Linked DNA regions of Arabidopsis thaliana. The protein of the gene in region 2 interacts with the protein of the main gene of each other region in a pairwise test. Each region holds a gene or a part of one and is shown on either strand. Other genes may lie near its edges. The genes, in order: HIPP27 and UBP16.

What was found.
Region 1: the proteins of UBP16 (region 2) and HIPP27 interact in a two-hybrid assay, tested with the Arabidopsis thaliana proteins (one study listed by BioGRID).

The regions. Positions count from the first base shown.
Region 1 is NC_003076.8:26,428,338-26,431,851, reverse strand, and holds HIPP27 (Heavy metal transport/detoxification superfamily protein), read right to left. Parts: upstream 1,651-3,514; 5' UTR 1,608-1,650; coding exon 1,551-1,607; exon of another isoform or gene 1,461-1,550; coding exon 1,074-1,460; 3' UTR 501-1,073; downstream 1-500. Other genes in the region: AT5G66120 (3-dehydroquinate synthase), read left to right, coding at 1-102, 205-336; LARP1b (winged-helix DNA-binding transcription factor family protein), read right to left, coding at 2,080-2,235, 2,361-2,432, 2,645-2,735, 2,868-3,012, 3,090-3,514. UniProt on the Arabidopsis thaliana protein: Heavy-metal-binding protein. Binds cadmium. May be involved in cadmium transport and play a role in cadmium detoxification.
Region 2 is NC_003075.7:12,683,107-12,687,032, forward strand, and holds the start of UBP16 (ubiquitin-specific protease 16), read right to left. Parts: upstream 1,871-3,926; 5' UTR 1,423-1,870; coding exon 1,142-1,422; intron 718-1,141; coding exon 1-717. Other genes in the region: DIC2 (dicarboxylate carrier 2), read left to right, coding at 3,440-3,926. UniProt on the Arabidopsis thaliana protein: Recognizes and hydrolyzes the peptide bond at the C-terminal Gly of ubiquitin. Involved in the processing of poly-ubiquitin precursors as well as that of ubiquitinated proteins.

The DNA.
Region 1 (3,514 bases), on a different chromosome or scaffold from region 2:
GAATCGATTGTTAAGAGAGTGAACAAGATCCTAGTACGGGCGAAATTGCCTACAACTCCGCCAGAGAGCATGACCGTCAGCATGTTCAAGTCCATAATGGCGGTGAGTTTTTAGTGAATTCCAGATGTAAATGGAAAAAAGTTGGTAACTTTTGAGCAACTTTTGAGCTAAGAAAAATTCATTGAAATGTGTGTGGTGATGCAGGTGGACAAGAAAGTGGCAGATGGACTGCTGAGGCTGATTCTTCTCAAAGGCCCGCTGGGAAACTGCGTGTTCACTGGAGATTATGATCGGGAAGCGTTGGATGCCACGCTTCGTGCATTCTCCAAATCCTGAGCATTTCATATTTGAGATAATTTTGGTGTTGTTTTGTTCACATACGCATATGTACTCATATATACTGACCTTGTAACTAGCTTTGTGGAATGTGATAATAATGAGATATTAAAAGAAGAAATACCCCGTTATTGGACACCATATGCGTTTCAATTTGGATACTTGCCTCTTGAAATTGTTACTTGAGCTTTATGACAAAGCACGTTTCTGTTATGTAAACACAGTGAAGAGGCAAAAACAGAGGGGAAAAAGAAGAAACAGAGGAAGGGCTGAAATGCGGGATGCATTGTCCCGTTTAGAGAGGAAACAACTTCTGGTGCATGTATTTCTCCAAAGACTGTGTGTGTTTCTTACTATTTATTTAAATGAAGTCATGTAATCCAGAGGAGTAGCAAATACGCAAATCAAGATGCCGGTGGGAGAAGCTATCGAGAAAGTGGCGAGTCTCGTCTGCTACTGCCTTGTCGTCATCTGTTACACACTGCTTCTGATATACCCTGTTTGGGTCATGGCTTGCCTAATCAGTCTATTCATGGCTTCTCACCTTTCTCTCTTCTTTCTCTTGTTACTCCTCCATCTACTCACCTCTCTCTTCTTCTGTTTCTCCCTTTTAATTTCAGTGGAATTTAGATGATGACTCGTACAAACATTCAGACTGTCTTTTCAGAATTACTTAAAAAGGGTATCTAAAAACACTTACATAGTCACATGTGTAGTTAACTATATATATGAATTGATCACATGATGGTACAAGCGTTGGGATTGTCATCGCTGAAAGCAGAAGTGTATTTGACCTCGAAGGAGCTGGCACGAGCAAGCGGGGCCACTAGAGGGTCGGCGAGTGCATTACGAACGTAACCAGGAGGGGCCTTCTTGTCGTAGGCACCAGGTGCGTAAGGGTGTGGCACCACCTCGTAAGGTACGTAAGGCCACAGCTCCGCCTTCTTCCCTGTCCGATGCATCACCCGATGCACCACCTTGCTCGGTTGGACGAATCCCTCGACCGTGAGTTTGCTCTGTTTAGGATCGACGGTGACTTTGCTGACTCCTTTCATGCCTTCCACCGACTTCCTCACCCGTCTCTCGCACCCTTCGCAGTCCATCTTCACTTTTATCTCCACCTTCTTTTTTCATCATACGAAACACAGTCTCGTTACACAACAGTTACAAGCAAAAAAAAGGAATCAGATATATCAGAGAAGGGAGAAGAGTGCCTGGAACTGCTTAAGCTTTTTGTGATGTTTCCGGTAACAAATGTCTCGGAAGCCCATTAGCGCCGATTACGACAGTTTTTTTTCCTTCTCTGGTAACTTCAAATTGTCTTATTAAAGCATACATAAAGTAAAGCCAACATGCCCACTTTGCACGTGGACGAGTGAAGGAATGGTATGTCACTGCTGAGATAGCCAGCTGTTTTCAATTTAGAGCTCTCTAGTATTTCGGATATGGTTTGACGTGAAACCCTCTCTGCCGAGTGGCGGGTATCTTCAGATATTACATTTTCTTAACAAGGATGACTAAATCAATGATCAGCCAAACACCAACTATTAAAGTTTCCTATCCAAAAAAATTTTAAAAACCAGAAAAGTTCAAAAAAAGTTGAGCAGCATATTATTGTTTTTTTTCTTATGAGACTGAGTATCAATCAGTTCATATCCAATTCTCGACAAAACACAAAAAAGGAAAGGAAGAGAGATAGGCTTGCAAACACATCTTTCTTTCTCTCTCTTAGTAGCATCTCTCTTACACTCCCTCTCTGCTCCTCTCTGATAGAGTCATGCTCTCAATTTGAGACACCAGTGAGGCATTGTTGCTAGCCCCCGCAGCTGGACCGGACCTTGAAGGCTCACGAGGCAATAAATACTTGTCCCAATCTCCTCGCCTCCTTAATGTTTCACCCTACAATCCCATCCACATTCTACCTTTAGTCTTTCTATGCCTTTTTTTATCTTTACACCTTTCCACTTTACTTCTTATCTTATATCCATCAATGAATGAGAGACAAGGATGCTCATCTTACATACCTGAATTTCCACGACTTCTGAACTTCTCAGTGCTTCCAATATAGTCTGGATGTTATTGGTCAGTTCCGCAAGCTGCAAAAGTTGCAAAAATTTCAAAGAATTACTCTTTTTTTTACCACCAATACACTTACTAAACTAAGACTACTACTTCCAAGGTCACGTAAACAAACAAACACAACTAATATAAGTAACACCTTGATACAATAAGAAATACTTTCTGCAGTAGACATTGTAAAGTGATTAACGCATGTCAGCTTCAGAATAGAAGATGGAAAACCACTTACTCTCCTGAATGCTGCTATTACTCTAACAGGAACCCAACCTTCATCATTCATCTGATCCCGTAAATGTTCATCTCTGCTCAGGTTATCAGCGCTGCGTTTAAAAATTAACAAAGGATAAAATTTGTAATTCACACTTCTGATAGATGCATCTAATGGAGCATTGGGGTAACCCATAAACAAGTAGAAAAGTGCAAACACAACCAAATAAAACTGAAACGATTACCTGAAATAATATTCTACTTGTGTCAATATCTTATTGTACAAGATGGCATCAAAATTGCGAAAATACATGGGTTGAAGTGGGAAGGGTCCAACTAAACCCATCGGATCTGGAGATGGATGTGGCATAAAGACATGCTGTGCATAATCTGAAGATGTAACATAGCAGAATGAATGAATTAGAAATGGGAATGTATGAGAGAGCATAAGATGAGCAAAACCATACCTGGGTAGATAATGGGGCCACCATATGAACCTAATTGAGGCGCTGCCATATATTGCGCACTACTGGCAGGAAAAGATGGTGGCCCCATCAGCATCTGCGGTCTAATCATCCCAACACCCCTCTGCGGTTGCAAGTGCATGTCTCTCCCACTATAGTTACGGTGAGAAAAGCCGCTTTGGTTGCCATGCTCATAATTGCGCCTGTTTCCATGGTGAAGACCTTCCCCACGAGGGTAAGAGCTGCTGTTGCGATTCCTCTGAGAATTACGGAAATTCCCTGAACCAAAAGAGCCACCACCCCTTTGGCTGTGATTCTGATCTCTGGTGTTTAAAGGCGCAGCATTGGAGACGTTACTACTGGTACTGGAAGATGATGTGTTGTTATTCCGTCTAAAAGGTTTCCTCTGGCTATTATTAACAGCACTG
Region 2 (3,926 bases):
TTAGATTTAACACAAGAATCACTCACACGTTCGGCTGATCCAAGAGCCGTACCCCAAAAATCAGATGACTTCAGAGATGGGTCAGCTGATACTGGATGCCTATCCGTAACTAATGAGTGTAAGCTCCTTGATTGGCTCTGGTTCTGCCCAGCATCATCCTCAGGTTTATGTACACTTAATTTAGGCAGATTAGCGAGATTATCTACAGATTCAACCAAGTGCACAAATTTTGGAGACAACAGTTTGGATGGAGCATCTTCAATGGTGCTGAAACAGGTGTCTTCTGGCTCTACAGAGACATGAGCATCAAGTAGGGACTCTGATCTCTCGGATTCAGATGAACTGAAGCTCTCACAACGAGAAATCTCGTCGCCAGAGTCATTACGGGGGGAGGAGGAGAAGCCAGAAAACGAGGATCCAGATGTTTCAGCAACAGAAACAGCTTCTTCCTTATCTATAAGGTCATCTTTGTTATCTGCAATATCTCCATTCCCATCTTCAGGAGATCTGGCACGATTAGATAATAGTGATTCCCCGATTGGTATAGTAACTGGTTCTGGACCCACCAGTAAAGTTTCCTCAGGAGTATTTTGTCCATTTTCTTCTCCTAATCTCAAATCGGAATCACTCTCATCTTCACTATCATATACAATGGAAGCAGGATGACATTCATCTTTGTGACCTTGCCGCCAGTGAATGATTTGACATTTCCCGGAACTGGAAAAAAAATAACAAAAACGAAACAACTATCACTAAGATATGTAGGTAACGAAATTTCACATGCGCTAAGGGGAAAAGGTTGAAAATTTGATAGACATTATAGTACATTTCTTAAGCTATCTAATTGAAATAAATTCCTCAGCAGCACATAGTTAGTTACTCACAGATAAGCCATGAATCAAATACTAAACTTCCTCCCAAGCTAACTAATTACCCATAATTTTGTTAACATAGAAAAAGAAGTCAATTTTCTTAAATCTCTGATCCAGTATCGCTAAAGTTACAGAACTAACTTATATTCTTTGCCTACTAATCACTCCAATTCATCACGTCTCAGCAGAGAGTGCAGCAGATGCAATCATAACTCTAAGATCATACAACGTAATTTGGACATGGAGAAAGTGAGAGAATTTTTGCATACCAATATCGAACGGCTTTGCAGCGAGAGCAACGAGTCGTGGCAAGACAATAGCAAACAGGACAATGGAAGACATTAGAGACGGCAACAGAAGAGAACTCAACAGAGGCCTCTAGCTCAGCCCTGGCAGCCTCTTCAGAAGCATGAATAAGAAGTCTTCTAATCTCCTCCCTTCTTTGGGCAGCGACCCTCCATTTGTGACGAACAAAGAGACCGATCAAAGGTAAAACAAGAGAGACCACAAGGACTAGACTAGAAATCCCTAGATCCAAAACAAGGAGCATTTATCCTCCACCAGATGCACAAACAATTGGAAATAAATCTGAGCACCAACCATAGATTTCACCGGCGAATAAGCCGGGAACAGAGGTGACAGTGAGGATCAGTCCGGCGATTTAGCACATGCAGAGAGAGCGAGAGAGAGAAGCCAGGAATCGATGGAAGTTATAATTTTTTCGCTGGTGGGTAAGCTTCCAAAATGATGACCCAAGAAAATCCAAAGATGAGAAGGAATAAAGAAAACCCTAGAGAGCACAAGTTGGGTTTTCTATTGTTCTCTGGGAAAAAGTTGAAAAAATCTGGTGCTTCTGGTTTAGGGTTTCGAAAGAGGGCAAGAGTGGAGAGATTCTTCGGTAGAAGGACGAAGAAATTAGGAGGCAGTATATTACTTTTCTATACCAAGACGCTTTGCTTTTTCATTTTACCAGACCAGACAACCTTTTTTTTTTTTTGCTCTAACGTCATTTGGAAATCATATTTTTATTACCAGGAAGCCCTTCTTTTAAAAACAAAATAAGAATAATAGTTCAACGGAAATATGAATTTGCATGTTGACAATGATAAAAAGTTATGAATTAGTCAATTAAAAAAGTGTGTAAGTTATGTATTAGTCAATTAAAAAAGTGTGTATGATGGGATATTGTAGCTATCTATTATATATGTATATTTAGTGCCATTTTCGTGTCACACCATGTCTTCATTTTTATTTTTCTTTACCATGTGTTATACTTTTTTGTTATAAAAAGTTGATATATATATATTATCGCTTAACTTTTTTTAAGTAACTATAAAATGGGTATCATATATAACAAACATATATAAGTATTTTGCAATTTATGCGATATATAAAAATAAAATAAAATAAATCTACACGATTCTATATGTTATATTATAAAGATCACGCCATATTATTCTATCTATAAGAATACAACGTACGGGATTATATATGATAGACGATTGTATTTGCGGGACATTGAGATGTTTCCGAAAATAGTCATCAAATATCAAACCAGAATTTGATGTGAAAACACTAATTAAAACATATAATTGACAACTAGACTATATCATTTGTTAAGTTGAGCGTTGAAAGAAAATGAAAGAGTGTAGACTGTAGTATGTATGAGTTTCCCAAAGGATGGTGCTTGAATATTATTGGGAAGAGACTTTGGTTGGTTCGGTTGAATGAAGATTTTTACCTGCCATGTTGATAGAGAAAGGCAAATAAATGTAGGGGTCGATGTCTAACGTAAAGACTGGATCAACCAAGAGTCCTCCTCCTCGTCTTCACCAAAAAAAAAGAGTCCTCCTCGTGGAAACTTATTTCTTCTCCAGCCAAGATCTCATCTCATCTCTTCACTCTATGAAATATAAAGGAATCTTATGGTTTTTCTAAAAACTATAGTACGTCTATATACCAAAGGAAACAATATAAAATCAGTTAATCTGATAAATTTTGAGTAAATAATAAAGTTAACTTTGTACTTACCTATATCAAACTAATTCACAAAATAAAGTAATAATAACAAAGAATTTTTAGTAGATCCACAATATACACACACACTATGAGAAATCATAATAGAGAATTTTAATGATTTTGTCTAACTCATAGCAACAAGTCGCTTTGGCCGAGTGGTTAAGGCGTGTGCCTGCTAAGTACATGGGCTCTGCCCGCGAGAGTTCGAATCTCTCAGGCGACGTTTCTTTTGTTTTCGGCCATAAAGGAAAAAGCCCAATTAACACGTCTCGCTTATAAGCCCATAAAGCAAACAATGGGCTGTCTCTGTCTCACTCACACACGCGTTTTCCTACTTTTTGACTATTTTTATAACCGGCGGGTCTGACTTAATTAGGGTTTTCTTTAATAATCAGACACTCTCTCACTCGTTTCGTCAACATTGAACACAGACAAAACCGCGTCACAAAACAAAACTCGCTACAAATAAATACCTTTGTTTCCCTCTTCTTCTCCTTCACTCACAACATCTCAATTTCATTCTCTCTTCTCTCTCCAATTTCACAACAATGGGAGTCAAAAGTTTCGTTGAAGGTGGGATTGCCTCTGTAATCGCCGGTTGCTCTACTCACCCTCTCGATCTAATCAAGGTTCGTCTTCAGCTTCACGGTGAAGCACCTTCCACCACCACCGTCACTCTCCTCCGTCCAGCTCTCGCTTTCCCCAATTCTTCTCCTGCAGCTTTCCTGGAAACGACTTCTTCAGTCCCCAAAGTAGGACCGATCTCACTCGGAATCAACATAGTCAAATCGGAAGGCGCCGCCGCGTTATTCTCAGGAGTCTCCGCTACACTTCTCCGTCAGACGTTATATTCCACCACCAGGATGGGTCTATACGAAGTGCTTAAGAACAAATGGACTGATCCTGAGTCAGGGAAGTTGAATCTGAGTAGGAAGATCGGTGCAGGGCTAGTCGCTGGTGGAATCGGAGCCGCCGTTGGAAATCCAGCTGACGTGGCGATGGTTAGGATGCAAGCTGACGGGAGGTTACCTTTAG